Caenorhabditis elegans: one gene and its partner. The protein of the gene in region 1 interacts with the protein of each later gene in a pairwise test. Each region holds a gene or a part of one and is shown on either strand. Other genes may lie near its edges. The genes, in order: repo-1 and prp-21.

Region 1 (12,938 bases):
CACTCTTGGATCGTGTCATGAAAATCAAAGGATATCGTTACTTGTAGTTTTATGTCTATTCGAATAAAGTTTTTATTAGTTGTATACAAAGCTTGACTTATTTTTTCCTGCAATATGCATAAAGTATGCATGAAATTCCCCATTGTTCACAAAAAGGTCCAGAATCTGTTTTCTCTCTTAATAATGCTTGTTCAACTTAAATACGAAGATCGAAACAATGAATGATAACAAGATTAATTATCAAAATGTTTCATATGGTAACGAGAAAAACATACTTGATAACAAAAAATCGATTGCAATGAATATAATCAAGCGCCCAACAAAAAATCTGGAAAATAGATAAAAACAAACCCATAACTTGATAAATTATGCACATTATTATTTGAGTTAAAATTATGACTTAGAAAAGGGATTCGGAGGGGAACAAAACATCGGTGATAAATAACAATAGATACTACAAAATTGGGAAAATTTAATCAAATTTTCCTTTTCGGAGAACTTTTCCAATTTTTGAGTTTTCTTCGAAAAGGGATCGAATCATGAAGACTTGAACTCCGGCGACACCGACCATCACGAGAGTGTGAACGACGCTCCAGAATGTGACACGATCAAAATTTGCGCTCATGACTGCGCGATCTCGGGCTTCATGAGCTCTGAGAAGAGCTTGATGATATTCCACTTTGTTTAGGTTATTCTTGATTCCATTTGCTCGTCGCTGAAAAACAGAAGCAATAAATAAGGCTTTTAAACAAGAAATACGTACGATTAAAATCTAAACTTACATGGAATTCATCAATGGTAACTCCAAGTTCATTCATTTTTGCAGAAAGATCAGAATCAGTACGTGCCATTGCAGATAAATCGGCTTCGTCGAGGTTGCCATGTGCATCAAACAAAAATATCTCGAAAAATACAACTTTTCGAGATTGATAACTGAATGAATTATCGAAGCAGACTTGATAATCTCCTGGTTGATTCAGTTCAATTCGATGGGATCCGTCGACTTTCAGCTGGTCCTGCTTCAGAATGTTCGCCCCGTGAAGTATCATGAAATTGATATTTAAGTCACCACCGTCGATTACCTGAAATCAAGATTTAAAATGCAGCAAATGGTTTAGAATTATAAAATACCTGATAATCAACTTCGAGGGTTTTGTGTTTTGCAAGATCCACAGGTTGAAAAAAGCACTGGAATTTTCCGGCAGGAACTTCGACTGTAAAATCGTACTCTCCACATAGAATAAATGGAGTGATGAGAAGAATTACAGTGATTATATTGGTGAATTCACCCATTGCTGAAATTAATTGATTTTAAGAGAAAGCCAACAAATTGACGATGCATTTTTGTAGTAAAGCTATTGAAAACGAGGCAATAACATATTTTCAAGACAATAATTTCAGAATTACAGCTTCGGAAAATTGTTTAATGCAATTATTTAATTCATTTATATCTTTAATTTTATAATAAATAAGATAAAAACAAAAAATTAACGAAAAACTCGCATAGTTTACGTGTAAATCTTCAGAGTTTGTCTGTGTCCAATAGAGCGCGATTACACCTATTTTTTTTCAAATCAGAATTTTTCTTTCACTGGCGTGATGGAAAGATAAATTACGATTAAAAACGTTCAATAGGTATAAATTTAATTTTTAGTATGTTTTGAAGTTATTTTCATAAGCTTTTAACGCAGAAAACACGACACCAAATAATTTCTGGGCCTGCTTTACAGGAACATTTTCAAAAATAACTCTTGGGTCTTGAAATGCTTACAGTAGTCTTCAGATTTCTTTTTTCCAGTTTTCATTTGTTTTGCGCATGCGTTTTTTGCGATAAATTGTTTAATTTCCTTCACAAATACATTATTTTTACATCCTTATACGTAGAAAACGACGGTATTTCAATTTAGGTAAAAATTTTCAGAGTTTACTGTGTGAAACATCTGAAAATTGATGCCACATGAAATCCTGAGTATCTTCTGTTCACAATTTATTGGTTTTAAACTTAAATATTGGTTTTGATCAGATTTTTTTCTAATTATTTCGAAATTCGGTTAGCCAACGATAGTGAGTAAATATTGTCAATTTCCACAATTTTCCTTTCGTCCATTTTTCTTCAAATTGATTTGATTATTGATTATTTTTCTTATAATTTTCTTGAATTTAAATTCCCCAGTCTATAGAAATTAATTTTAAACTAGTTCTCATTTTGTGTTTCCATAGAGCGCATTTACACTCTTCTCATGCACTTTTCCCCGCCTCGTGCCTGCCTCTCCCATCGCTCGCTCTCTCCAGCCATTCTCATTTCCACATTTACTTTTCACCCAACGATTTCATTTTCGAAAATGTTTTCTGTATAAAATGCATCCGATTTTTACAGTTTAGCTTTCGTTTTTCGTAATGGAAATATAGTAGTTTCGGTTTCATCGATTACTGCTTCATTCTGTACTCTCCCATAATTTTAAAACAAAAGCCGAATTCTTAGATTAAAACATCTACTTATTCCTCCACTATTATCTTTTCTCATCTCGATAAATTAAAATAAGAATTTTTACGTATCATTTTCACTTGTTACATTATCGATTTTTCGAAAATTTCAGCTTTTCAGAGATGCCTCGCTCAGACGGATTTTCTCCGCGCAAAAATTTGCGGAGATCTGCTCGAGATCACTCGCGTTCGTATGCGGGTCAGTGCAACGAGGATTTTGATGACATGTACGCACCATCAAGCAGAAGAGTGAGTTAATTCAAAACATATACATTTTTAAATTGACTATTTACAGAGAAGCAGCGGTGGTGTAGATGGAAATGGGTACACACGTTCCGGACGGAAAATTAATCACAATCGTTATTACGAAGAGGAATATCATGAGGCAATTAGCAGCGAGGAAGATGAAAGACGATATCGAACTCGAAGGTTTTTTGATAATTTTGACAAAAAATATTATAATTGTTAAAATTTAGAAGCTCGAATTCGATGACATACAGACAACAAGTAATGCAGGCGATAGATGAATCCAAGCGAAATCAAAAAGTGCCGCCTGCAAAACGAAAGCGGATATATTTGTCTGACGAGGAAGAGGAAGATTTTGCTGAAGCGGCGCACGTTGAGAACACAGTCCCCGAGCGTGCAACTCGACGTAGCACCAGAAGACGTTCATCAATGCACGAAGAACTTGGAGGTACACGAATCGCATAATTTCAAAAATATAAGCGAATTTCAGTTTCAGAACAGGAAGAGTCGCCGGTTCGCAGGACTCGCAAAGCCGCCAAGCGCCTTGGAAGTGAGCAACCAGAGGAAAATCTAGCAGCAGATGATCCGTTGCCAATGGAAGGAGGTGGCGAGATTGTGCTACCAATTGCTGAAATTGATGGAATGGCTGAACAAGAAAATGAGGACTTGATTGAGAAAATTGGAAGGGAAGAAGAGGAGGAAGGCGCTGAAGAAGATGAGCAAAGCGGTGAAAAAGATCCAGAAGAAGAAGAGGATGATAGCAGCAATGCAGAAAGTTCAGAGGAATCAACTGCTCCACGTCAATACAGTCTTCGCCGCCGTCAACCAGTTGTCCAGTTCAATGCATCAGAAGCTCGTGAAAATCGACGGGCTCGTCTTGAACATCATCGGGTTGCAAATCAAAACAGACATCACCGCAATCGAAATGGATCTCGTCGAAGACGAAGCGATTCGGATTCTGATAGTGATGATATGGTGCTTCCGAGACCTGATAAACGTCAATCGAGGCCTCATATGCATAACCGTGGAGAACGTGAACGTGGTCGATTTATGCCGATCAATATGACCGAAAAAGAATTGCAGTCTGCCCAACACATTCTGATGGATCGAATGAGAAAAACTGATGCTGGTCAAGGTGCAAGTGACATTGATCCAATGAGTGTTGATTCGTCGGTTGGTTTCGATCAAGTTGGAGGACTCGGTCATCATATTCAATCTCTCAAAGAAGTTGTCCTTTTCCCAATGCTTTATCCTGAAGTATTTGAAAAGTTCAGAATAAATCCGCCAAAAGGTGTCGTATTCTATGGGCCCCCAGGAACCGGAAAAACTCTTGTTGCACGTGCTCTTGCGAATGAATGCCGAAGAGGAGCCAACAAAGTTGCATTCTTTATGCGAAAAGGAGCTGATTGTTTGAGTAAATGGGTCGGAGAGTCTGAAAGACAACTTCGACTATTGTTTGATCAAGCATATGCCATGCGTCCATCAATTATCTTTTTTGATGAAATCGATGGTTTAGCTCCAGTTCGTTCTTCGAAACAAGATCAAATTCATGCGAGCATAGTGAGTACATTGTTAGCACTGATGGACGGATTAGATGGTCGAGGAGAAGTTGTTGTAATTGGAGCTACAAATCGATTAGATACTCTTGATCCAGCTCTACGAAGACCAGGACGTTTTGATAGGGAACTCCGTTTTTCCCTTCCTGATTTGAATGCCCGACGACAAATTTTAGATATTCACACTTCCAAATGGGAGGAAAACAAACCGATTCCGGAAACACTCGATGCTATTGCAGAGAGAACTAGTGGATATTGCGGTGCCGATTTGAAATTCTTGTGCACAGAAGCAGTTCTTATTGGATTGAGATCTCGATATCCTCATATCTACATGTGTTCTGAAAGGCTGAAACTCGACGTTGCCACCATTAAAATCACTTCTGAGCATTTTGGACATGCAATGCGGAGGATCACACCTGCTTCCAGACGAGATCTTACAATTCCATCGAGACCATTGGATGAACGAACTTCAATTTTACTTGGAGATACTGTGAGCAACTTGATTTCGTTGAGAATTCCACAAGGATATCGATGCGTGGAAAATGCAATGGCGACAGCTTCAAGCGAACTGGAACAAGTTGTTAGGGCATTGGAACCTAATCCAACCGTGCCTGCTATTCGTCTTCTTCTATGTGGATCTGAGCAACTCGCGGACGGTGGACAAACGTCTTACGTTCTTCCCGCCATTCTAGCAAAACTGGATCATCTACCGGTGTTCTCTCTTTCTGTTTCAAGTCTTTTAACAGATGGACGTCCAGAAGAAGCATTTTCAAATGCAATTCAGTCGGCAATGCGTGCATCAGCAACCGGCCCATGTATCATGCTTCTTCCATCAATCGATGAATGGATTAAAGTCATTCCTGTATCAGTTCAACATATGCTTATCACATGTCTGGAATCAATGACTGGTTTCACGCCGATTCTTTTCCTATCGACGCTTGACACTTCGTTTGAAGATGCGCCTGAATATGTCACGGAAATTTTCAGACATGCAAACTGTATCACGTGAGTATAACTAGAAATGTGTTTTCAGAACATTTTTAAAATATAATAATTTTCAGTTTGAATCCTTCCCGCCGAACAATTCGTCAAAAATATTTCGAGCACGTTATTGAGAAGATTAACACTCCACCAAAAGTATTTGATCGTAAGTCTCAACGAAATACAATTTTTTAAAAATTTTAAATCCTTTGTCCATATTTCAGCAACAGTCTATGAGATGCCTCTACCAGATGACGATTCTCCCGATTCGAAGCCTTCTAGAAAGCTCAATGATGACGAGACAAGAGAACTTTTGAAGATGTACACTGCTTTGCAGCGACAAATGAGATTATTCTTCAAAGAGAGGCTCAGTGAGTTTTAATATTCCGCATGCTCAACCTCATTGAATATTTTCAGCACGTCTTATGCGAGATCGTCGATTCGTTGAATTTGTCGAGCCCGTGGATCCGGATGAGGCTGAGGACTATTATGAGATTATCGAAACACCGATTTGTATGCAGGATATTATGGAAAAGCTGAATAATTGCGAATATAATCATGCGGACAAATTTGTTGCTGACTTGATATTGATTCAAACGAATGCTCTCGAATATAATCCGTCGACAACAAAAGACGGAAAACTGATTCGTCAAATGGCAAATACACTTCGAGATGCAATTGATGATCTGATCGAGTGTGAACTTGACGAATCGTTTGTCGAACGAATTGAAACAGTTTCACGAATGCTACAAGACGCTGGAGTAACTCCAACCTCTGATAAATTACTCACAGAAATTCCCAAAGGTTTTGCCCGAAAAAAGGCGTGGTCTATGACCAATTCACTTGCAAAAGAAATTGAGCAATGGACATCAGAGCGTGAAGCTGAAAATCAAAAAATGTTGAGCAAGCTTGGTGTAGCTGCTCCAACATTGGAACTCGTTGTTGTCCCTGTAGAAGATATGAAAAGTGAAGAAGGAACGAGCACATCAACTGATGGAGTTCCAGCTTCTGCTGGAAATAAAAAGAAATTGCTCAAAAAGAAGAAGGGTCAAAAGAAAAGCAAAACCGGCGAATCTGAAGAGCACGATGAAGATAGTACAGTTGAAGACGCAGGAGAAGATACAATTGTAGAAAATCTTGAAATCAAGAAAAATCAGGAAACTCCAAACAGTGAACATGATATCGAGATGAAAGATGCTTCTAAAGATTCTACACCTTCCGTGCAAATTTCGATTGCTGAGAAAGAATTGATAGTTTCGAAGCCAGCAACATGCGAGCTGATTCAGTGTTGTGTCGAAAAGTCGGAGGGTTGGTCAGTCAGCGAGTTGGAACGTTTGTCTTCTGTTCTATCACATACAATTGAACGATTCCGGTGAGTTATATGATTTTTTATTACCTCGCTGTTCTTTTTGTTTGAACTAAAAGGAAATGTTAAGGATTTTTGGAACGTTTTAAAACATAGAAAACATTTATTATGAAGGTTGTTTATATTTTTGAAAATTTCAAAAATTGATAATTTCGTTATTTTGAAAAAAAATTGAAATTTTCAATAATTTCCGGTTAATTGAAAAAATTTCAATTCAATTGAAAAAATGCTCGTAATTTTCTGTACATTTCTTCGGCTTTTCCGTGATTTTCCTATTTTGATATTTTCGATATTCTCTGAAAAATCCCGAAAAAATTGTAGTCACAATGTAGAATAAAATAAACAATATTTATTTTTAACAATTAAATATTATTCAGGGACGAATGGAACCGCGAAAATCTACCAGCCCAACTTACCCAAATTGTACGTGAATGGCAAACAGCTGACGATTCGAACAATACAATTGTTAATGGAACCCTCAACAAATCGAATGGAAATCTTGCCAATGGACACTAAATGATGTCCCATCCTCCTCTTCCAATCTACCTCCGTTTATCGATTTTATAATTTCAAACTGAAATCCGTTTTATCATAATTTCCACCAGTTTTCCTCTTGTCAAAAACCCCTTTGTGCGAAAGAAAACTTTCAAAATAAGTGCGGCTACCGTGATACTCACCTATTTTTCTTTGTCCATTTTTATTCAAATTAAATCTCTACCATAATTAATTCCCCTCCAATTTATTCGAGTGAGCATTGCCTGCCTCTCGGGTGTATTCACGTGCCCTTCTATTATTTCATTAATCTTTTCCATTATCTTTAACCTGGTCTTTCGAAAATGAGTAAATTGTGAATCATTCGATGTTTAATGCTAATACCTATTTTTGTTTTAATGATCCGTTTAACTTCGGATATTTATATATTTTCGATTTTATTTTAAATTTATAATATATTCAATCATCTAAACTTTTTCTTTCAGATGGACTTTCAGAACAGAGCTGGAGGAAAAACGGGAAGCGGAGGAGTGGCTTCGGCCGCCGATGCTGGTGTTGATCGACGGGAACGGCTCCGCCAGTTGGCTCTAGAGACAATTGATCTTCAAAAGGATCCGTATTTCATGCGAAATCACATTGGAACGTACGAATGCAAGCTGTGTCTTACTCTTCACAACAATGAAGGATCTTATTTGGCACATACACAAGGAAAGAAGCATCAAGCGAATCTTGCACGGCGTGCCGCTAAAGAACAATCTGAACAACCATTTCTACCAGCTCCACAGAAAGCTGCAGTTGAAACTAAAAAGTTTGTGAAAATCGGACGTCCTGGATACAAGGTAACAAAAGAACGTGATCCAGGAGCTGGCCAGCAAGCACTTCTCTTCCAAATTGATTATCCGGAGATTGCTGACGGTATTGCGCCACGTCATCGATTTATGTCTGCTTATGAGCAAAAGATTCAGCCTCCAGACAAGAGATGGCAATACCTCTTGTTTGCTGCTGAGCCGTATGAAACGATTGGATTCAAAATTCCATCAAGGTGAGGCTTTACAACATTTTAGCACTTTTCTATCTCATAGTTACGATTAAAAAAATTGTATATACCAAGTAATTTTTTCCAGAGAAGTTGACAAATCTGAAAAATTTTGGACGATGTGGAACAAAGACACGAAGCAATTCTTCTTACAAGTCGCATTCAAATTGGAACGACTCGATGATCAGCCGTACTATTGATACTCTATGTTTTTATCTTTTTGATTTCAAAATTCAAAACAATTTTTTCGTGTTTTTCGATGATCTAACAATAAATTATTTTCCTTTTTTTTAATGATGATATTTTATTTAAATCAAGTATAGGTTGACTGATCCGTCTACAATGTCTATTCAATTAAAATTATAGTTTTCATAGTTTAAAAAATCAGTTTCAGATGGCGAAGAAGGTTGTCAAAAGAAAAGCTGAAGCAGTGTCCGCTGACGCAGAAGCCGTTGCAGAAGCTCCGAAGAAAATCAAGAAGCAGAAACCAAGTCTTCCAGTCTCTGAACCTGATAATTATCAGGCTGGTGGATTATCAAGTCTCTTCGGAAAGTCGTCAGAAGGAGCAGCAGTACAAGAGGAAGTTGTGAAGGGAGATAAAGTAATTGAAAAACCTAAAAGAAGAAAGTATGATCCAAAAAAAAAGGCTGAAGAAGAGAAGGCAGCTGATGCTGCTGCTGCTGCTGAAGAAGTTGCACCTGAAACAGAAGGAGAAGAGAAAAAAGATGAAAATAAGGAAGGAAAGCGAGACAGAACGAAGCAAAGAGAGAATAGAACTCTTCAAAAGTCAAATGCACGTGCTTCAGCTGCTGAAAATGCTCTGACTGTTTTTGTTGGAAATATGCCATTGACAATGAACGAGAAATCAGTCCGTCGAATTTTCTCCGACTTTGGAACTATTTCCTCTGTCCGTATGAGAAATCTGCTTCCTGCGAATGAGAAATTGACGAAACGAGTCACTCATTTGACAGGAAAATTGAATGACAAACAGAGTTCTCTCACGTTCTATGTGAAATTCGGAGCAGAAGAATCAGTGGAGAAAGCTCTGAAGTACAATGGAACCAAGCTGGACGATCATGTGATTCGTGTTGACAAAGTTGGAAGTAAGAAGAAAGAATTTGGAAAGGATATGGCCATTTTTGTTGGAAACTTGCCGTTCGAGATTACCGAAGATGCTCTCATTACTTTTTTCTCTGCACAAATCGGACCTGTCGAGGCTGTCAGAATTGTCAGAGATAAAGATACTGGAAAGGGAAAAGGATTCGCGTTTGTCAATTTCAAACAAGATTCTTCTGTGAGTCTTGCATTGAGCATGGAGACTATCAAAATGGAAAAACGCGACTTGCGCATTACAAAAGTTATGAAGAAGGGACATTTGACGGTTTGTTTTTTTTCTTCGAATAGTTCTTCAATTTATAATTTGTTTTTCAGAAGATCCAAACTGCTAAAAAGCGAACATCTCACGGAAAGAAGAACCAGAATGAAATTACTGGAAAATTGCACAAGTTCAAGTTCTCCACCAAAAAAGAAAGGTTTGTAAATATGTGGCATTTTGTCAAAGGGCCCGCGCGCGCAATGTCATTGCCCGGTTCTTCTCTATTTAAATCGTTCAGCGTAGCGCAGTTGGGTGTGCGTTTGTACTCGAGGTCGGCGCCCACGAGTTCGACCCCCACTGCTTGCACGACTGCAACCTGCTTTCGGAACTTTACCGTCTGCGGTACTTGTAGTGCTATATGAGCGTGGGCCCTCCGTGTGCGTGTAATTTAATTGAACTAGCACTCCGTTGGTCACCGGATAATTTTGTTTTTCTTTTCAGAACAACTGAGCAAAATGATCGTCGTGCCTTGAAGAAGTCAGCGAAGAAAGCCATTGCAAAGAAGAAGGCTGCAAAGAAGGGACGTCTGATGGCATAGGTTTTTGAATATTTTGTTTTCATCTATAACTTTGTTGATTTGTTTTGTTTTGTTATTTTTATCACTATAAAAACAGTTTTTTAAATCTAATATTTTATTCATCAAACAAAAAACTATCACAGAGAAAAATACAATAAATGCAAAAATTACTCACAGAGAGGGAAGAAGGCAATAAATGAAAAACACCCATGAAGAACAAGGAAGCAAAATGAAGCGAAAGAAAACATAAACGAGAGTAGTCGAAACTAGAGATCCAAGAAATACATAATTAATGAATGTTAATAAAAAAGGAACCCAAAAATCTATTTATGCCATTGATTCTTTGTCCATGGCTGGTTTTGAAGAATGTACATTTGATACAGGGGGCGGAGCAACTACAGTAACCTCAGTCGGCTCATCATCGTCACCATCGTCCCAGTTTCCGTAGCTGGCAACTTCTGCTGTTCGAGTCTTGTTCAATCGATCGTTCAACTCTTTCAATGCTTTTTGTCTGAAAAAATTAGCATTTTAACTGGAACAAATCAAAGAAATCAAATATTTACCTCCGTCTCTCCGAGTCTTTTGCAGAATTCTCCAGCGCAGGCAAGTTGATTCCAACGGATCCTGATTGTAGAGAGTGAAGATCAACATGACGAACTTGTCGTTTGCAGACGCCCATTCGAGCAAGGGTTCTGAAGCAAACTTTTCCAATGAGAGTGAAGAAGAGTTGAGTGCGAGACGGGAAGAGGCTGGCCCACGTGAAGTGCTCACTGCCGTCTCCATAGATTTCGTCAGTTTCATGGGGTTTGTAGAAGCGAAGATAGGTCCAAGAAACTTGAACACCGATGGTGATTTGGAGAAATGACACCTAAATCAAGAAAAATTAAATTATTCCATTTGATTTTATAGAAACTTACAAAGTAAGTAAATTTGGTGAGAGCTAGAATAAATGAGACAAATATGGCCAAGAATGGAAGGTGAGCATATTTAATACGTCCAAGTGGTGTTGCCAGGACAATGGTGTCAGGAAGAAACTGAAAAGAGCCATTATTAAATATTCAGTTTCTTTCAGATTCATGTGTTTGCCCACCTGCTTCATGAGAACCATAACCGACGCACAAATCGGAGTCATACCAACAAGTGGTTCAATGTAGAAAAATTTGATAGAATCGAATAAAATGTAGGTGAGATATGCGAAGACTACGATGACAAAAGTGGTAACACCCTGAGTAATTGCATAAAGCTTCAGAAGAGACTCATTTGTATTGTTGAGACGGACGAGATTCGTTCCGAAATGAAGACACCAGACTGTCCACAGAACGTCGAGTACATTGTGACCGCAGAATGTGCTTGTCGCGATACGCCAAAGCTGGAAAAATGAAATTGTTTCTAATTCTGAAGATTTTGTTCTATACTTCAATTGAAGCAATTTGATAAGGGTGAAGCCATAAAAGAAGACGTGCAAAGTGAAGATATGAGATAATATAGCCTGGAAAATTGATTTTTTGTAACTCTATTAAATAATTATTTTACAAAAATGTCTAATTTTTGATGAGAATAATAAAAATAATAAAGTTTGGAGCCTTATTTCAGCTACGCGTCCAATTTTGCGATTTTGCAACAAAAAAACAATGCCCGGTCTCGACACGACAAATTTTATTAAAATGCGAAAAGGCGCGCACCTTTAAAGAGTACTGTAATTTCAAACTTTCATTGCTGCGGAATTTTTATCGATTTTTCACAGCGTTCCTCACAATTGGTTGAAATTTATTAGTTTTTTACCGTTTCATTCAAGATTTTTTAATAAATAAATATATTTTCATCGAAAAACCGATAAAAGTTCCGCAGCAACTAAAACTTTGAAATTACAGTACACTTCAAAGGCGCACACGCATTTTTATTTGCCGTGCTGAAACCAGATACGGTATTTTTGGCCCAAAAATCGCAAAATCTCACGTCTGGGTAATAATAATTATTGGCAAAAACTCACCAATAATTCGTAGCACAACAAGAAATCTGAACGGTAACGCATTATTCCGTAAGACGTCTGAATGCCGTTCCACGACGATTTGCAGATCGCCAAGCACAGCTTTCACTCCCATTTTGTCTGCAAATCCACTCGGCAATGTCTTTCAAAGGAATGGTGTAAACGCTGTGAGCTGGATTCGTCAAGTGCGCCCCACTGAGAACCTTTCTCTTTCACTCTCTCACTTACCAACACTATGTTATCGAAAAGCAGAACAAAATGTGGCTGGTGAAAACAGGAAATAAGCGGATATTTTGAAGGTGACGATAAAATCTCTCTCCAGAAGAAGAAACTTCACGTTTTTCAAATCGAAGAAATTTTAAACCAACAAAAAAATTTAATTAGACACGTGTTATTCATCTTGGGGTTTGGTTGTTTTTGAAAAAAAAATGCAGTTAATAAATATGAAAACATAGGAAATGAGACAAAATATAGAGATAGAGATACATGGTACAGTACTAAAACATGGTAAAACTGGGAATTTGTTCTTGAGAAGTTCAGAAGAAAGAAGAAATCGATAGAAGAAGATCATGTTCTCGTCATATGATATCGAATTATAAGTGGTTCAGATTTGGGTTGACCACGGCGCTTCATCATCCAAACAAAGCGAACCGAAAAGTCTTTTCCCATGAGTTGTCCGTCACAAAACATGTCTAAATCAGAATACCGGCTCTGATCGTCCCATATTTGAAGAGATAGGAATCTGAAAAAGAAGGAAAATTATAAAAAAATTAATTTCCTTAAAATTTTTAACCTGAAATAAATATTTTTTTTACATCTAGAAAAAATTTGTTTTTGAAATTTCGGAGAAATACCAAAACTTTGAGTTGTAATTGAAAAAAAGTAAAAGTGCGGCACG
Region 2 (17,725 bases), on another chromosome or scaffold:
ATTCCGCAGATTATAACCTTTTGACCAGTTTTGCGATGTTACTTAGGATAGCTATCTCAAAATTTTCAGAATGTCATTCTCCAAAACATTATTCAAACAGTGAATTATGGGTTCTTCTCATTTTGTGGATTGTTTGCGCGTTATTTCTATGGGCACCTTCTTTTCTCGGAATATATGTACACGTTAGTACAATCGTGTCTCGTATGTTGATATATTTTTCATGAAAAATACAACAAAATTTCTTCTTCAGCCCAACTCGCGTTTTCGTTACAATTCTCCGTTGTCCGATTCGGTTTCTTAAAAAACTCGCTCAATAAAGTAATGTAAGTCATTTTTCATTTGTAACAGTTTAAGAAATTCTTCATATTCAAAGAATATGGACTGCGAAAGCCAAACTCTTATTTTTTACATTTCAGATTGATTTCTAACGTACCATCAAATCCCACACAAAATCAGACTGCCCCACCTGCCATTGAATTGAACTAGAATTTTAAAAAGAAATGTATTTTTTGTATTGAAATGTATGTGAATAAAGTGCGTTTTCATGCTCATTCTCCCGCTTTAGGAAATTTAACTTTTCTGGCATCGGTCCGACTTGCTTCTGGAAATTGGAAATGGGCAGAGGGAGCTAATATTGTTGGTTCAAATTATTTGACATTGACCTTGTCATTTTTGAATCTTGCCTACCTGCCTGCCTGCGTACCTTGCTTGTTTTCCCCATGTCTGTTTAAACATGTTTTTGACCCTATAAAAAAAGATAAAACTGTCAGAACAAAGAGCAAGCCGGACGATGACAATTTAGTACTTGTCTGCGTCATACCAGTGAGTCTACCGTGTAGGCGTGTAGGCGTTTGTAGGCATCGAAGAAAAAGACAGCCATAGCCTAGAAAAATCATAACTGTCAACTAAAAGCAATTTTAAATCGCTTCATTGTACTTTTTCTAGAAATGTAAAGTTTCGATACAAGAAACTCCTTTAAAATATACAGTGTGGGAAAGTTCTATAGGACCCCCCCTAATTTGAAGGTTTGAGGAACTTCCGAAAATTTTTTCGAAAAACTGCTAATGCCGTTCGTTTTTAAATTGAAAAAAACCTATATACATTTTTTTCCAGAAGTTTATCTCAAAAACTGAGGTCGCGCTGGAAAAAACGTCAAAATCCAGTGTGAAACTTCTATAGGACCCCCCGTTTTTTTTCACGATTTTTACTAAAATCAACAGATTTTGGAATTTTTGACAAAGCTCAAATCAAGTTTGAGTTAGAAATGAGTTCATATAAGCAGTTTTGACTTTAAAAATTAATACGAAATGTTCTCGTGGGATCTCCAGACTGGTTCTGATTCTTCCGATCTTTGATGTTCAAGTCTGTTTCAAGCTTCCTGGTGCTCTCGGTAATGCCAAAACTTGATAAACTCTCTTTAACAAGTTCCTACTAAAATTCCTAGCACGCACTTTAGATGTTTCGACTGTGTAGTCAAGCTGATTTGGCAAAATATGCAGCAGGAAACAATGGAAGGCTTATCAGGAATCAAATCGTTTTTCTTTGATTACAAGGTTCCATGGGACCAATATTTCAAGTTAAATTGTCCCTCACAGATGTTATTTACTATTTTTTGCGTGAATTATTAAATGTGGAATTGTGGCATGTGTTGTGGCACACATATAGAGGCTGGAAAGCTTACTTCGAAAGCAGTCTAACTTGCAATGCCTCGAGGATCTGCCCTTTCGGACACTGAACGCGCTCAGCTGGATGTTATGAAATTGCTCAATGTGTCCCTGCATGAAATGAGTAGGAAAATTTCCCGTTCTCGACACTGTATTCGCGTGTATCTGAAGGATCCGGTGAGCTACGGTACATCTAAAAGAGCTCCTCGTCGCAAAGCTCTCTCCGTGCGTGACGAACGAAATGTGATTCGTGCTGCCTCCAACTCCTGTAAGACGGCAAGAGATATTCGCAATGAGCTTCAATTGTCTGCTTCAAAAAGGACCATCCTCAATGTCATCAAACGATCTGGTGTAATCGTTCGTCAGAAACTTCGCCCTGCTCCGTTACTCTCTGCAGACCATAAACTCAAGCGATTGGAATTTGCTAAGAACAATATGGGAACGAATTGGAGTAAAGTGAGAATTTAAAAAAGCAAGAGTGAATAATTAGGATCATTGTTTTAGGTTGTCTTCTCCGATGAAAAGAAATTCAATCTCGATGGGCCTGACGGTTGCCGCTACTATTGGCGCGATTTGCGCAAGGAACCAATGGTTTTTTCGAGACGTAATTTTGGAGGAGGAACGGTGATGGTTTGGGGAGCGTTCACGGAGAAGAAGAAGCTTGAGATACAGTTCGTCAGTAGCAAGATGAACAGCACTGACTATCAGAACGTCTTGGAACTGGAGCTCTCCAAATATCTTCGTCACTACTCCAGAAAAGACTTTAGATTTCAGCAGGATAATGCGACAATCCATGTGAGCAACTCAACCCGCGACTATTTCAAGCTCAAGAAGATCAACCTTCTTGATTGGCCAGCTCGAAGTCCTGATCTCAATCCAATCGAAAATTTGTGGGGGATTCTTGTCCGTATCGTGTATGCTCAGAACAAGACTTACCCAACAGTTGCATCGTTGAAGCAAGGAATTCTCGACGCTTGGAAGTCTATTCCGGACAACCAGCTGAAAAGTTTGGTCAGATCAATGGAGGACAGACTGTTTGAGATCATCCGCACACAAGGAAACCCGATTAACTATTGATCCTTTCTTGATTTTAGTATATGAATGTTCTGTTGTTGATCAAAAATAACTGCAACTTGTTAATACGCTGTTTCTGACTGGTTTCTTGGGGATGGCGTAAAAATGTTTATGGTGTGTGTGCTAGGAATTTTAGTAGGAACTTGTTAAAGAGAGTTTATCAAGTTTTGGCATTACCGAGAGCACCAGGAAGCTTGAAACAGACTTGAACATCAAAGATCGGAAGAATCAGAACCAGTCTGGAGATCCCACGAGAACATTTCGTATTAATTTTTAAAGTCAAAACTGCTTATATGAACTCATTTCTAACTCAAACTTGATTTGAGCTTTGTCAAAAATTCCAAAATCTGTTGATTTTAGTAAAAATCGTGAAAAAAAACGGGGGGTCCTATAGAAGTTTCACACTGGATTTTGACGTTTTTTCCAGCGCGACCTCAGTTTTTGAGATAAACTTCTGGAAAAAAATGTATATAGGTTTTTTTCAATTTAAAAACGAATGGCATTAGCAGTTTTTCAAAAAAATTTTCGGAAGTTCCTCAAACCTTCAAATTAGGGGGGGTCCTATAGAACTTTCCCACACTGTAGTTTCAACCGAATCTCCGCCGAAACTTGACTAAAGTTATTGTTTTTGTGAGTCAAATTGTAGCTTATATTTTTAACTATAAACCTGGGAACAAACATAATTTTTTTATTGAAAATCAACAAAATAGAACAAAAACAAGAAAAAAAAACGATTTTTAAACGAACAAATAACAAAAAAGATGCAAGATTGGATAATTATTGTCTCCAGAGCTTCAAAACTTTGTCCTTTCCACCTGACACAACTTTCGTTCCCTCGGGGCTCCAATCAACAGTAAAAACTTCGTCTCCGTGGCCTGGAAGGTCGTAGTACAGACTTTTCGTCTTCAATTCGAACACTTTTAACGTGGAATCGGCGGATCCGGAGACGAGAAGACGACTGTCGGCAGACCATGCAACTTGATAGACTGGGCCAACGTGTCCTCTGAAAAATTGTAAATTTAAGGAAGTTTTCGGCTGAAAAATTATTTGACCCATTTTCAAGTGAGAATTCTCGAAAATCGTTCGAAATTTGTAGATTGTAGTCTAGCAGACCCAACCACTCGGGTCTGCTAAATCGAAATTTGTAGTTTGTAGTTCATTTTTAGTGCATAAAGGAGGAATTTTGCTGTACGAAATTTGTTTTCCTGTTTTAGGCTCAAAGTAGGTAATTCTGACTGAAAATTGTGTGTTTCGTGTTTTCCAATACTAAAAATGTCATTTTTGAAAGAAAAACTGCTATTTTAGATCATTTTAAGGAACTTTTCAGGGATTTCTCGGTAATTTCTGCATTTCTACCTCAAAGAAGCCAAATATTTTCCAGTTCTTCCACACCAGAGCTTCACTGATTTGTCGAATGAGGCGGAGGCGATATAACGTGTATCCGGTGAGAAAACGACTTGATTCACCAATTGCATGTGTCCGGTCATTCGATTAATCGATTGTTTCGTCTCTTTCGGGTTCCACATAAATAGTGTAAAATCGTCGGATCCGGAAACAAGACGTTCGCCGCCGGCAATTTCCAGAGCTGCTTCATACCGAGTTTGAGCCACTTTTTGACACTGAAAAATCCAATTTTGATGTTTTTTGATTGGAAGATTGTGAATTTTGGAGGTTTTAGCCCTAGCAATTGTTAAGTTTCCAGTTTGCTTGTACCGATCGAAAACTTGAGCATGGCGTCCGCGTACCCGGTGACAAATGTGCTCTATTGCACAATTTGTTGGTTGGAATACGTTATTTATTGCATGTTTCAGCAGAGAATACCGATAGTCATACCATCAATTTGGATAGAAGCACACAAGTCACAAAAGTTTATTTTAAACGGCTCCACAAGCTACAGTAATCCTTTTTTGGCATTTTTCAGATCGAAAAAATTCAAAGTTCGAAAGGGGAAATTCAATTTACAGTGTATTTTCGTGAAATCGCTGAAAACTATATAGAAACTGCTGCGTTTAAATAGAAACAACAATCTGCTAAGGGTAAAATTCGAAATTTTGGAAAAATCTGACCAAAAGTACTTTTTTGGCATATTCTGAATAGGAAATTAAAATTTTTAGGTTTCTATGCATAAATACAGTTTAGCGAAATTTGTTATTTGGAACTTTGCCGCATGAAAACCTAAAGATGTAGACTAGTCAAAATCGAAATGAAATTTCAAATTTTCAGACTTTCAAGTAGGAAACAGAAATTGTCCAGAGAAAAAAAGAAGAAAACCTCCAAAATATAAAAAATTACAATTTTTCTTGTTTTTAGAGTAGGAAATTGATGTTTCCAGTAGAAAAGTTCTAGAAATTTTAAAATTAAAGGTTTTTAATGGAAAAAAAACGGAAAACTCCAAATTTTCAGATTTTAATCCAATTTTCTACCTCCTCCACAGTATCCGGCTTAATACAACGCTTGCTGGGCTCGAAGCACGAGGTTCTCAACGCATAATCTGTATTCAGTGCCAAAGTGTTAATCCAGTGAGCGTGTCCGGTCATGTTTCGGCACATTACTCCATCGTCGGCTCTCCACATTTTTACGGTTCGGTCCTGAAAATTTTTTTTATTGTGAAGGAGTCTGGCTTGAAATTTATGTTTTAAAAAAATTCGAAATTAGGAGAATAAATTGATTACGGTAGGTTTTATGCGATTTTCATGGTTTTCGAACTATTTTTTAAATATGCGCGAGTTTAAGTTAATTCGGATTCGTTTGTGATCATTCGGTGTTTAAAATCAGTTTGCGCATTTCAAAGTGACATCCCCGTCGTTGAATTTTCAACGTTTTTAAAAAATATTTTCAAGATTTTTCACAACTTTTCCTGCAAAAAGTTACCTGAGATCCGGAATAAATAAGTCCTTCGCCTCCCCAACGCAGACAGGTGACCGAAGCAGTGTGTCCACTCAAACAGCGAACTACAGTACCCTGTACGGTATCCCAAATGAAAATATTTCCGTCTTTTCCACAAGAAGCCAGAAGCCTGCACGTCGGGTCTTTGTGCATCGGTTGCCATGCCAAACTGCAAAAATTTTATTATAAAAATTCGATTTGAAATGGAAATGTTTAGTTTTTATGTTGAAAAATTAATTTTTGGCTAATATTTGAGAGAAAAACTCGGGTTTTCTGAAGCTTTCTGTTAAAAATCACATTTTTCCACTATGGATGATAAGTAAACTCATAGAAAATATTAAAAATTCGATTTAAAATACCCAAATTATTGGAATTCGAAATGGGTCTGCTAGACTACAAATTACAAATTTCGATTTAGCAGACCCAAGTGGTTTTGAAGAAGTTTGGGTCTGCTAGACTACAAACTACAACTTTCGATTTAGCAGACCCAAGTGATTTTGAAGTGATTGGGTCTGCTAGACTACAAACTAGAAATTTCGATTTAGCAAACCCAAATAATAGTGATTTTCAAAAGGGTTTCAGTAAAAATACATCGTTTCAGTGGGGTTTTAATGGAAATTTTAAGAGAACATTGTAGTGATAAATACAATTTTACGGCGATTTTTTGTAGAAAACCCAAATTTTCAAGACATTTCAGTGATAAATGCGATTTTCCTGCACCTCGTGATCCATTGCTTGTGCCTTTTGAGCGTTTTTCCGATTTGCTCTCCGGTTTTCGCGTTCCAAATGCAAATTTCTCCGTTTTTGCAAGCCGAAGCGATTTTCGTAGCATCCGGTGACCAGGCGATGCAGAGAACCCAACTTTTATGGGATTTACACGTGTGGAGAGGCAACTCGAGCTCAATATCCCAGATTCGCATTGTTTGATCGCCGGAGCCCGACGCTAGACCACGTCCGTCAGGGCTGAACTGAGCAGAGATTACTGGCTCTCCGTGACCTGAAAAATATATTTAAATGCGTCAAAACGATCAAAAAATTACCTGGAATGCTAGCGGAGCATCTGGTAACTGGTCTCACACGGAACACTGCTTGTGGCTGATAAACAAGCTTTAATGTCTGAAATTTTAAATTTTTTAAAAAGTTTTCTATCTTCTTTCAAGGGCTTACAGTCTCAAAATCAATTTCCTCTAACGATTTTCGAATGGAATCGACAATTTCAGCGCCTTCTGTGGTGAAGAAGGAAATCGGCACAGGATCGTCACTGAAAACTCAGGATGAGATACAGAAAATTCATTATTCAAACAAAACCTGCTCCCGAGAAGCTGATTACACAAAATTTGCAGCTCATTCGTGGAGATGTCCACTGGAACAAGGATTCCCGATCCTCCGAGCTCGTTTTCGTCCTCTGACACGAAGCTGACCGAGATTTGTGGACTTTCAGTCATTTTGTTACCTGAAACCGTTTGAGTTTTAATTATTTTGAAAGTTATAACAAGGGAAATCGTTGAAATTGAACTGGAAATCGAAGAAATTCGTTAAGAAATTGCGCTAAATAAATTATTTTTCTCAGTGGAGCGAAGAAAGAAATACAGTGGAAAAAGTTAGGCCATCACTTTTTAGCATTCATTTGTATAGAGAAAACTGTAAATTTTTTACAGATTGTTATGTTTTTACACAATATAAAACATTTTTAACGTAACAGCAGTAAAAACTATGTCGAAAACAATAAAGAATAGATAAAAACCTACCGGGAAAATTTGAATTTGGTCATGGTCGAGTTCTGTAGTGGCCTAGTAACCTCCACTTAATATTCGAAAACGTTTATTTTTCAGTTTATTGCTTTATTTCTCTATTTTTAATTAAATTATTAATTTTCCTGAATTTTTTGCGAAATTTACGAATTTTCAAATTATTTATCTTATAAATTTGCAGAAAATGACTGCAGTTGTCTCAAACCGCGAGGAGGACTCGATGAACAACGAGCCCTCGTTGTCAGGGCGTGCGATTATTGGATTAATCTACCCGCCGCCGGATATTCGCAGTAAGTTTTATAGTTTAAACCAAAAATAAAACAGTTCTGCATGGTTTTGGAAAGATTTCACGCGGAATTCCGCAAAAACTAGGGCAAATCGATATTTTCCAAAAATAAGCAATACATTTTCAATTTTCAGCAATCGTCGACAAAACCGCCCGTTTCGCTGCAAAAAATGGAGTGGACTTTGAGAATAAAATCCGCGAAAAGGAGGCGAAAAACCCGAAATTCAACTTTCTCTCCATCACAGACCCATACCATGCCTACTACAAAAAGATGGTCTACGATTTCTCAGAAGGCCGAGTTGAGGCTCCGAAAGTACCGCAAGCAGTGAAAGAGCACGTGAAAAAGGCTGAATTTGTGCCTTCAGCTCCACCGCCGGCCTACGAGTTCTCAGCGGATCCATCCACGATTAACGCCTATGATTTGTAAGTTTTTTAGAACTTCTAGAACTAAAATTAGATGAAAAAGCTATTTTTAACCTAAAATGAAGTGAAAACCTTATAAATTGCAGAGATTTGATCCGACTCGTTGCTCTGTTCGTTGCACGAAATGGCCGTCAATTTCTGACTCAATTGATGACACGAGAAGCCAGAAATTATCAATTCGACTTTTTGAAACCGGCTCATTGCAACTTTACATACTTCACAAAGCTCGTTGATCAATATCAGAAGGTAAAAATCAAGAAAATCTGCGTATTTCTAAGAATTTTTAAAAAAATCTAGATTTTTCGGTTGAAAACTCAAAAAAAATCCAGCTTTTTCGGTAGAAAACTCAAAAAAAAAACATTTTGATAACTTTTTCACTATTTTCAGTTTAAAGATGGCGGAAAAGTGAGCTTTATAACTTTTATTTGAAATTTTTAAGCTAAAAGTTGCTAAAATATCAGTTTTCAGGTTCTGGTGCCCTCTACCAACGTAGTTGCCCAACTCCAAGACGATGCTACCAACAAAAAACGTCTCATAGAAGATATCAATTATCGTGTATCCTGGGAAAAACATCAAAAAGGTCTAAAAGATCGCGAGGAGGCAGAAGCCGAGAAAGAGCGTCAAGCCTATGCATCAATCGATTGGCATGACTTTGTAGTTGTTCAGACTGTAGATTTCCAGCCAGGAGATACTTCTCAGCTTCCACCACTATGCACACCAAAGGACGTTGGAGCCCGTATTCTTTTGGAAGCGAGAAATGAAATGCAAAAGGCGGCGGCTGAAATGCAGGAAATGGATATGGAAGAGAGTGATTCCGATGACGAAGATGCCGTTCAAGGTGCTTTTTTGGAGCATTTTACGTTGAAAATAGACAAAATTCACTTTTTTCCGGTTTTTTCCAACAGTTTTACTTTTAAAATAGATGGAAAACAATGGCAAACTATGAAAACGCTGAAATTCAAATTTAAGTGCTTCCAACCTGGAATATTTAAAATTTTTAGGCGAATTCACATTTTATTTCGTAGAAAACGAACAAAAATCGCAATTTTGAGTTAAAAAGTAAGATTTTTTGGGTCTGCTAAATCAAAACTTGTAGTTTGTAGTCTAGCAGACCCATTCTCTTCCAAATCACTTGGGTCTGCTAAATCGAAATGTGTAGTTTGTAGTCTTGCAGACCCAAGCTCTTCAAAACAACTTGGGTCTGCTAAATCGAAATGTGTAGTTTGTAGTCTAGCAGACCCATTCTCTGTAGAAACTACTTGGGTCTGCTAAATCGAGTTTGTAGTTTGTAGTCAAGCAGACCCAATTTCTTCCAATTCACTTGGGTCTGCTAAATCGAAAGTTGTAGTTCGTAGTCTAGCAGACCCAAAAAAATCAATTTTTTTTTATTAGCTTTGGCAAATTTTAACTCGGAAAACTAATGAATTTTTGGGACATGTGAGTTTCTATCCAAATTGATGGTATGAATATCGATATTCTCGGCTGAAAGTGCAAAAACTACCGTATTCTGACCAACAATTATTGGAATAGAGCACACGTGTCACCCGAAATACGAAAAGTATTTTTTTTTAATTTTTCAAATTTTTAAATTAAAAATGAGTATATTTATATATTTTCAGCACCAGAAGCCCCTGCATTCACTGCTCCGCTGCCACCTACAAAACAGAAAGACGTGATTGTTCGAGATTACGATCCGAAGAGAAATGTGACCCAAAAGCCAAAAGCTGTGGAGAACTGGATCATTTCACCGCTCACCGGAGAGCGTATTCCATCGGATAAGCTCGCCGAGCACGTCAGATACAATACTGTCGATTCACAGTATAAAGAGGACAGAGATCGTCATATTGGAGAAAGAAGCACGGAGGAGCCCGTATTGGCTCTTGGAGCTGATATTTCTAGGTTAACATTTCAGAAATTTCTTTGAAAAACGAACAAAAGTCTAAAAATCGCCACAATAATCTACAAAAAATCGATTTTTCGTGGAAATTTTGTTCATTTCCGCATTTTTCGCTCGAAATTTGAGATCAGTGCTTCAAATTAGACCTGGAAAGATTCTAGCTCAATTTCAGAAAATTTGGGTTATCGTAGCACCAGAAGTACTCAAACACTGACTACAGCACACCTAAGCACCAAATTTCACGACAGTGGTGAATTTTGAGCTAAAATCGATTTTCAGGAGTAAATTAGAGTGCTAAATCTAAAATTGGAATAAAAATGTCTTAAAAATTGTAAAAAGTGAAAATTAAAGATTTTCAGACAAATTTCCGATTACAAATGCCCACAAAAGATGTTCAAAGCTGAAAATTATAGATTTTCAGACGAATTTTCATTTTTCCACGTGCCAATATCACTAAACCCCAGTTTTTTCTTTCAGAAATCTTGGCAATTTCGCTGAACGTCGTACGGATATCTTCGGTGTCGGCGGAGAGCAGACTATGATCGGAAAGAAGCTCGGCGAAGAGGACAATTCGCAACAAGGGCAGAACAAACTGATTTGGGATGGAACTGAAGAGACTCGGGATATGATTACCCGAGCTGTACAGAATAAAGTCACTTTGGGTACGGGAAATCTAATTTTTTGGCGAAAATTTTGAGTTTTCCGGGATTTTGTTTGGGAAAATTACACGATTTGTGTGGTTTTCTATGTAGAAATTTCTCTAAAACACTCAAATGTTTCAAAAATTCGAGTTTTCATGAAAAACCAGTAATTCAAAAAAAAAGCAATTTCCTCTAACAAAAACCGTGCCAAGTTTTGGATTTATGATATTTTCCATCTGAAAAAAATCTGGTATCTCGGCTGAAACGGGCAATATATACCGTAGTCCAAGTTTTCCCAAAAATTCCAACCAACAATTTGTGCAATAAAGCACAGTTGCCACCGGAGATGCAAAAGCTATGTTTAATTTTCCAATTTTTGGCTGAAAATTGAGCTAAAAATTTACAATTTTCCCGTCATAAAACTCACCGAAATTTCGCTTTTCAGTGTTTTTTATGCAAAAAAATTAATCATTTTTCATTTTTCAGACCAACAAATCAACGAAATCCACCGTCAACACGGATTCGTTGCCGATCCATCAAAGGAAAAGATTGGAGCTCAGCAGGTGCCACGTCATCAATCGACCCAGGGAAATGTGACAATTACTCAAGGAATAACGAATATTCCTGGACAAATGCCATCCGGATGGCCGCCGGTTCCACCAATGGGAATGCCTGGGATGCCGAATCAAGCGGTATGGGATTTTTGAGTTGAAAAATCTCCAAAAAAAAATTCGTTTTTTCATGTAAAATCCTGGAAAAATCGGATATTTCGACAAAAATTGTCAATTTTTGGACCAATTCTCTTTGTATTGCAAAAACGAATCGAAAAATCCCAAATTAAACATGAAAACTAACATTTTCAATTTGGGTCTGCTAAATCGAGTTTGTAGTTTGTAGCCAAGCAGACCCAATTTATTCCAATTCACTTGGGTCTGCTAAATCGAAAGTTGTAGTTCGTAGTCTAGCAGACCCATTCGCTTCACAACAACTTGGGTCTGCTAAATCGAGTTTGTAGTTTGTAGTCAAGCAGACCCAATCTCTTCAAAATCCCTTGGGTCTGCTAAATCGAAAGTTGTAGTTTGTAGTCTAGCAGACCCAATCTCTTCAAAATCCCTTGGGTCTGCTAAATCGAGTTTGTAGTTTGTAGTCAAGCAGACCCATTTTAAAATTAGTTAAAATTGGTTAAAAATCGCGAATTTTTGCTGATTTCAGAGAGATATTGTATTTCTTTCGAAAAATATAAAGAAGTGGTTTTTTGTGTATTTCTGTTTAAAAAAAAATAAGAAAAAGCTACACCAGGTTAGCTGAAACTATATTTTTGTTGAAAAATAGTGAAAACGCCACCAAAAGTTATCTTTAACCGCGTAATTAGACGATTTTTCGGCGGAATTAACTGGAAACTGTGTTAAGATTAAAATTACTGAAATTTCCACAAAATTAAATTTTTTTAAATGTAAATTTCATCTCAAACGGACACAGAAATTCCCATTTTCACTGGAAATTCTCATGAAAAGCTCCAATAAAATGCATAAAGCTCTATAATTCCAGCTTCCTCCAATCCGACAAATGGACTTTGGCGGTGGACCTCCAGCGAAGCGTCCTCGTACCGAAGATGATTTGATACCAGAAGCTGATTGGCTTAAAAAGGTCAACGGAGCAATTTCGCTTAATGTTCATCTTCCACAGGCTCCCGAACACGGAATGGATGGCTCAATTGTGCAGTTTACAATTCAAGTTACTGCACCGGTGAGTTTTAGATAAGAAAATTGTTTTTTTCCCCTGAACGAATTTTTTCACCTTTATTTATTTATTTATTTATTTATTCGCTTTTAAACCATTTGAATAGTAAGTTGATAATAAACATAAAGAATAGGTAAGAGGCGAACAAATATAAGATGACCGATTGGACAAAGGTCCGTGGCCAAATGAGGGTGGGGGTATGAAAGACTTATTTACAGAAGCTTTGATGGGGGAAAAAAAACTATAAGTGAGATCACATCATAGTGTCAAGGGGCAGGGAACAAATACGTTTGGTAAACGTTTCGGCTGACACTGGTTTACTGAACAACTTGGCAAGAGAGTTCCAAAAAGATAGGTATTTATGCAAAAATATTTGTTTGTTGAATGGCCCATTGGGAACCACCTGATGCCCAATTAATTCATAATTTTTGCAGATGTCCGAACTCAAACAACAAATCCAGGATCGTTACGGAATGCCTGTTGGAAAGCAGAAGCTGATGTCTGATGGCCTTTTCGTGAAGGATAATATGAGCTCGGCCTTCTACAATTTGGCAGATCGGACGGCGATTTATCTGCAAGTGAAGGAGCGTGGAGGAAAAAAGAAGTGATGAGCTATCGATTATTTATTACTCTTATTAATATTTATTTTCTTTCAAACTTTATTCTAAAATTGGACGCCAATTTTAATTCTTCAAATCTCAACTTTTCTTCCAATAAATTTGTAAAAAAACCGTTCTGTAAATTTGGAGTGGAAAATCTAAAAGTTCAGACATGGCTATACAAAATTCAGATTCAGCATGTCAAATTACCCCGGGACACTTTTTCTCCGGCTTTTAGCCTTAAATTTCAGAAAATTGGGTTACTGTAGCACCAAAAATACGCAAACATCGACTACAGTACCCCAAAACACCAAATCTTACTACACTGAAGAGTTTTGGGCTGAAAATTGATGTTTAGGGGTAAACTGGAGTGCTGAAATCAAAAATTAATATGAAAATTCTAAAAAATCGATATGAAAATCTTAAAGTCCGGCATTTTCAGACAAATTCTTGATTTTTCTTGGTTCAAATAATAAATTCGAATTTTTTTGTTTATTTTGTTCAGATATCCAGATTTTTTAAATTTTACTTGTTACAGGACATTTTCAGAACAAAAAATACTAGAAAAACAGAAAAAAATTGCGTTTTCAGTAAAAACAAAACATTTTTTGCACAATCTGAAAATTGTTCGATTGCACCCTAAAAATTGCACTATGTTTTCCAAATTTCTTACATGTGTTTTTGTTTTTTCCCCCACCTAACATAACATTTTAAGAGTTTTTGAAAAAATTTTCGAAAAAAAATTTAACAAAAAATTTTTTTTCACTTTTTTTTTCCGAATTTCTTTTTTTTCCCAGAAACATCTTGTACCCCATATTTCATTACAGTAGTACTTGTAGTCAGTCTGTCTGTGCATCTGTTTGTCCACCAAAATCAGCAGTTCCCGCCACCTAAAAATAGTTCCCAACAAGTAAGTTCAGCGTCAAAACTGGTATCAAAACTCCCCTTCTTACCACAAAGTAATGTTCTATTTGACATTTCGGAATAAGAAGTTTGCTCCCATTGTTCAAATAAACTGTATGTGTGCTCCGCGGAGCACACAAACGAAAAAAATTGCCACTGGGAGAGGGGAGCTCAGGGGGTGGAGCACTTTGGCACAAATGAGCACACTTTTTCCTCATTTTTCCGATTTCAAGAGCCTCATATGACTGATGCTGCAGTGTTTAGCTGATTCTTCAAATTTTTTGAAAATTTCGCGGAAAAATGTTTTTTTTGGAAAATTTTTTGGATTCAATTTTTTTTTTCGCCAAAATATTTTTTTCTCAAAATTTTTCTAGTTTTCACAAACCTAGTTGGTAATTTATTTGGTCACTTTGAAACACGATTATCATTTTTTAAAAAGTTTAAAAAAATTTTCAAATCCCCGGTAACCTCCATTAAAATTTCACTTAAAAAATTCGATAAAATTTTTTTCCCAAAGTTTTCAAAAAAATTATTTCATCCAATTTTTCCTTTCACGTGAGCTCCCCAGTACGAAATCTATTGAGCGTATGACTGATTTTTGTTGCTTTCAATCTTTTGTTAGGGGTTTTGGAAATTTTGGAAATTAAAATTTTTTATTGGAAAATTTTAAAAAATTTGATTTTTTGGGTGAAAAGTTGAGTGAACTTTTAGGATTTTGGGTTTAAATTTGTTTTATTATTGAGTAATTGGAATTTTACTTTAATTCATTTCTTTGAAATTAAAAAAAATATCGAAAAAAATGTGAGGAAAAAAAATTGAAAATTATCTTAATTTTTCGCTGAAAATGTTAAACTTCCGATAAAAAATTCAAATGCTGCCTATGAAATTACCCCTTTTCTGCTTTGCCCCCGGTTCTAGCTCGAAAATCAAAATTTTGGGTGTAGCCTCAAAAGTACGCAAACACAAACTACAGTATCCCAAAGCACCTAATTTCACGCCGTTGGCGAATTTTTAGCTGAAAATTGATTTCTCGAGGTAAAATAGGGTGTGCTGAAACTAAAAATTGCAATGAAAATTTCAAAAAATTAGTTGAAAATAGAAAAATTCAAGGTTGTCCGTTCCAAAAAGTTTGAAAAATTTCCAAAATTGTTCGACAAAAAGCACACACTGTTCCTTATACTATTCGTCATATATTTTTTCTGAATCACTATATTTTTGATCTGAAAATTTGTTCGAAAATAAAAAAAATACTTGGAAAACTACATAAGAAATCATTCAAACTTTCAGAAACTTAATATTGGAAAAAAAATTAAAAAAATTTTTTTTTCGTAAAATTTTTTTAAACTCTATTTTGTTCTTACAAATTTTCAGTGATTTTCTCTACTTTTTTTTTGAAATTTTCTAATTAAAAATTTATGTGTTCTATGCTGCAATTTCCGTAACCATGGAGCTCTGTAAAAAACACATTACCCCATTCCCCTTATATAATTTTTTCTGCAAAAATCCAATTATTTTTCTCCAATTTTTACAATTTTTAATATTTTTTGTGATCATAGTACCAAAATGATCAGATCCCAAAAAGTGCATAAAAAATTTTTTTTTTTTAAAAGTGAGAATTACCTATTTTTATGTCAATTTTTATGACACTTGTGACATTGTTTTTATGGAATGACTTTTGTTTGAAATCATTATTTGAAAAATATATTTTGTATTGATTGAGCTGAGAAAATTTTAGTTTGAACAGAAAATTTTGAAAAAAATGTTTTTTTCACAAAATGTTTTTCCAGAAAATTTTTTTAAACTCAAAGTTAAAATTGTTCAGTTTTTTTTTCACATAAAAGGGAGTTTTGTTTTTGTTTTTTTTATTTTAAAAAATAAACGAGAATTTTAAGATTTCAAATTCAAGAGGAAAAAAAAGAAACTTCAAAAAAATTCTTTAAAACTTTTTTTGAGTTGAAAAAAAATCTATTAAATTTTCAAAAACTTGCTCAGAAAAAATCATAAATGAATTTTAATTAATTATTCTTACTATTCAAAAAAACCGGTGAAAATTAAAAAAAAAGTTCAGATTTGAAAATCTTTCTAAAATTTATAGCGAAATCTCCATCTGAAAGTTTTCTATTTTTACAAAAAATTGAATTCCACGTATATTTGAGGCATATTTTATCAAATATAATAATTTTTTTGATATTGAGTTTGATTTGAAAAAAATTAATTGAAATTTTTAAAATCTTTTAATTTCAAATAAAAACATTTCGAAAAAAAGTTTGCAATTATTTCCTAATTTTTTTTGCGAAATTTTCTTGAAAATCATTTCATTTTTTACTTTAAGCACACTATTTTCAGCCAAATGAAACACATTTTCTAGCCTCAAATCACGTTTGGCATTTTCAATTGAGCAGTGAGCATAAAGCACAGAAATTTAGTTAAGAAACAGTTTTTGTTGTTATAAAACCGCAAAAATTGTGTTTAATAGTGATTGATAATACCACAAAATATCTCAATACATGAAAGTTCAAATCGCTAAAAAAAAATTGCGTCAATTTCGGGCGGAGTTTCAGGTGGCTAGAAGCTGACAACTAGAATAGAGGAATATTTTTGGTTTAGGATGTAGAAAAAAAAATTCCTGAAGTTAAACATTTTTTAGATTTTGTTTTAAATAGGAAAATAGCTACTTTTATCGGAAAAAACATTAGTTTTCAAAAAAAAATTGATTAAAAAATGTTTAAATCAATTTTTTCCAAATTATTATTTTTTCAAAATTTAAAATTGTTTTAATGAAAAATAGTTACATTTGTATTAGTTTTTTATTGTTAGGTGAGCTGAAAGGTTTTATTTTCAGGAAAAACATTTATTTTTTTAAACAAAATGTTTTAAATTTAATAATTAATATGTTATTTCATGACCTCATGTTTTTGTGAAATTTAACTATTATTATTATTTTAATTCATTTAAATTAAAATGTATACGCTTAGGTGAAACATTATCTGGAAACTAATAAAACATTTTAAAAATTTCGGAAATTTTTGCATTAAATTTTTTTTCAGAATCAATTTCTCGGTTTTCATATTATTTATTTCGTTGGCCACTCATATTTTATGTAGGCTGACCACACATACATTATTCAAAAATCAAACATGTGTTAAGAATTAAGTAATTTCGGTGCTCCTAGAAATATTGAAAATTTTATTGTTTTTCGGAGTGTGCCTAGCACGACGAGTTTGCTGGATTTGCCGAGTTTGCCGAGCTCGGCAAAAATTGGAAAAATAGATTTGTTGAAGAGCTCGGCTAATTTTGAAATCTGTCTCAAACCCCTGGTACCACAGATGATTCGCAGTGTGAAAATTATGCATGCTACACTCAAATTTCACTTATTTTTCACATTGCGAATAGCCGGATCGCGATGTGTAAATCATGTGAAAATTATGGGAAATTTTTTTTCGCGATGTTGAAAATATGTATAGACAATTCGTCGAATTTTGCGGTGTGTACATAATTTTAAAATAATTTTATTGGTTCAAGGTGCCTACATAACTTCACACGCGCGAACACAAATTTTACACATTTTTTCAAAATTTTGTTGGAAATTTTCTTTTTCAAAATTTGCAAAATTTTACTTTTAACAATTGAAATTATATTTCAATTTAAAAAAAACGCATTTTTTAATCAAGATCTACCAATTTCTATCGCAAATCACCTGCCAAATTTCTCAATTTTGTTGCCATTTTTTTCTTCAAAAACGTCATGTTTGATCTGAAAATCTGAAAAAATGTTCTTAGTTTTTTTCTTGCTTATATTTTTTTTTGGTGCTGATGTATAAATGGCGGAGCACATTTTGTGCTCCATAGCAACATTTGTGCG

Evidence for each region.
Region 2: the proteins of repo-1 (region 1) and prp-21 interact in a two-hybrid assay, tested with the Caenorhabditis elegans proteins (2 studies listed by BioGRID).

What each region holds. Positions count from the first base shown.
Region 1 is NC_003282.8:12,076,868-12,089,805, forward strand, and holds repo-1 (Splicing factor 3A subunit 2), read left to right. Parts: upstream 1-7,610; coding exon 7,611-8,167; intron 8,168-8,249; coding exon 8,250-8,361; 3' UTR 8,362-8,453; downstream 8,454-12,938. Other genes in the region: K08E4.7 (BTB domain-containing protein), read left to right, coding at 1-47; tmed-1 (GOLD domain-containing protein), read right to left, coding at 473-715, 783-1,082, 1,132-1,293; lex-1 (Tat-binding homolog 7), read left to right, coding at 2,608-2,733, 2,780-2,913, 2,961-3,178, 3,221-5,291, 5,348-5,433, 5,492-5,638, 5,685-6,639, 7,011-7,149; rbm-34 (RRM domain-containing protein), read left to right, coding at 8,556-9,542, 9,593-9,693, 9,978-10,074; F11A10.6 (Transmembrane protein 115), read right to left, coding at 10,381-10,564, 10,617-10,921, 10,971-11,087, 11,144-11,422, 11,469-11,542, 12,044-12,155; Polycomb group RING finger protein 3 homolog mig-32, read right to left, coding at 12,608-12,782.
Region 2 is NC_003280.10:477,310-495,034, forward strand, and holds prp-21 (uncharacterized protein), read left to right. Parts: upstream 1-7,556; 5' UTR 7,557-7,559; coding exon 7,560-7,665; intron 7,666-7,795; coding exon 7,796-8,084; intron 8,085-8,170; coding exon 8,171-8,330; intron 8,331-8,552; coding exon 8,553-8,922; intron 8,923-9,703; coding exon 9,704-9,983; intron 9,984-10,458; coding exon 10,459-10,643; intron 10,644-11,108; coding exon 11,109-11,314; intron 11,315-11,572; exon of another isoform or gene 11,573-11,655; intron 11,656-12,170; coding exon 12,171-12,368; intron 12,369-12,796; coding exon 12,797-12,970; 3' UTR 12,971-13,094; downstream 13,095-17,725. Other genes in the region: W07E6.5 (G_PROTEIN_RECEP_F2_4 domain-containing protein), read left to right, coding at 70-201, 251-323, 417-486; gldi-1 (NLE domain-containing protein), read right to left, coding at 3,516-3,741, 4,095-4,357, 5,162-5,326, 5,610-5,793, 6,345-6,621, 6,665-6,740, 6,792-6,885, 6,933-7,069.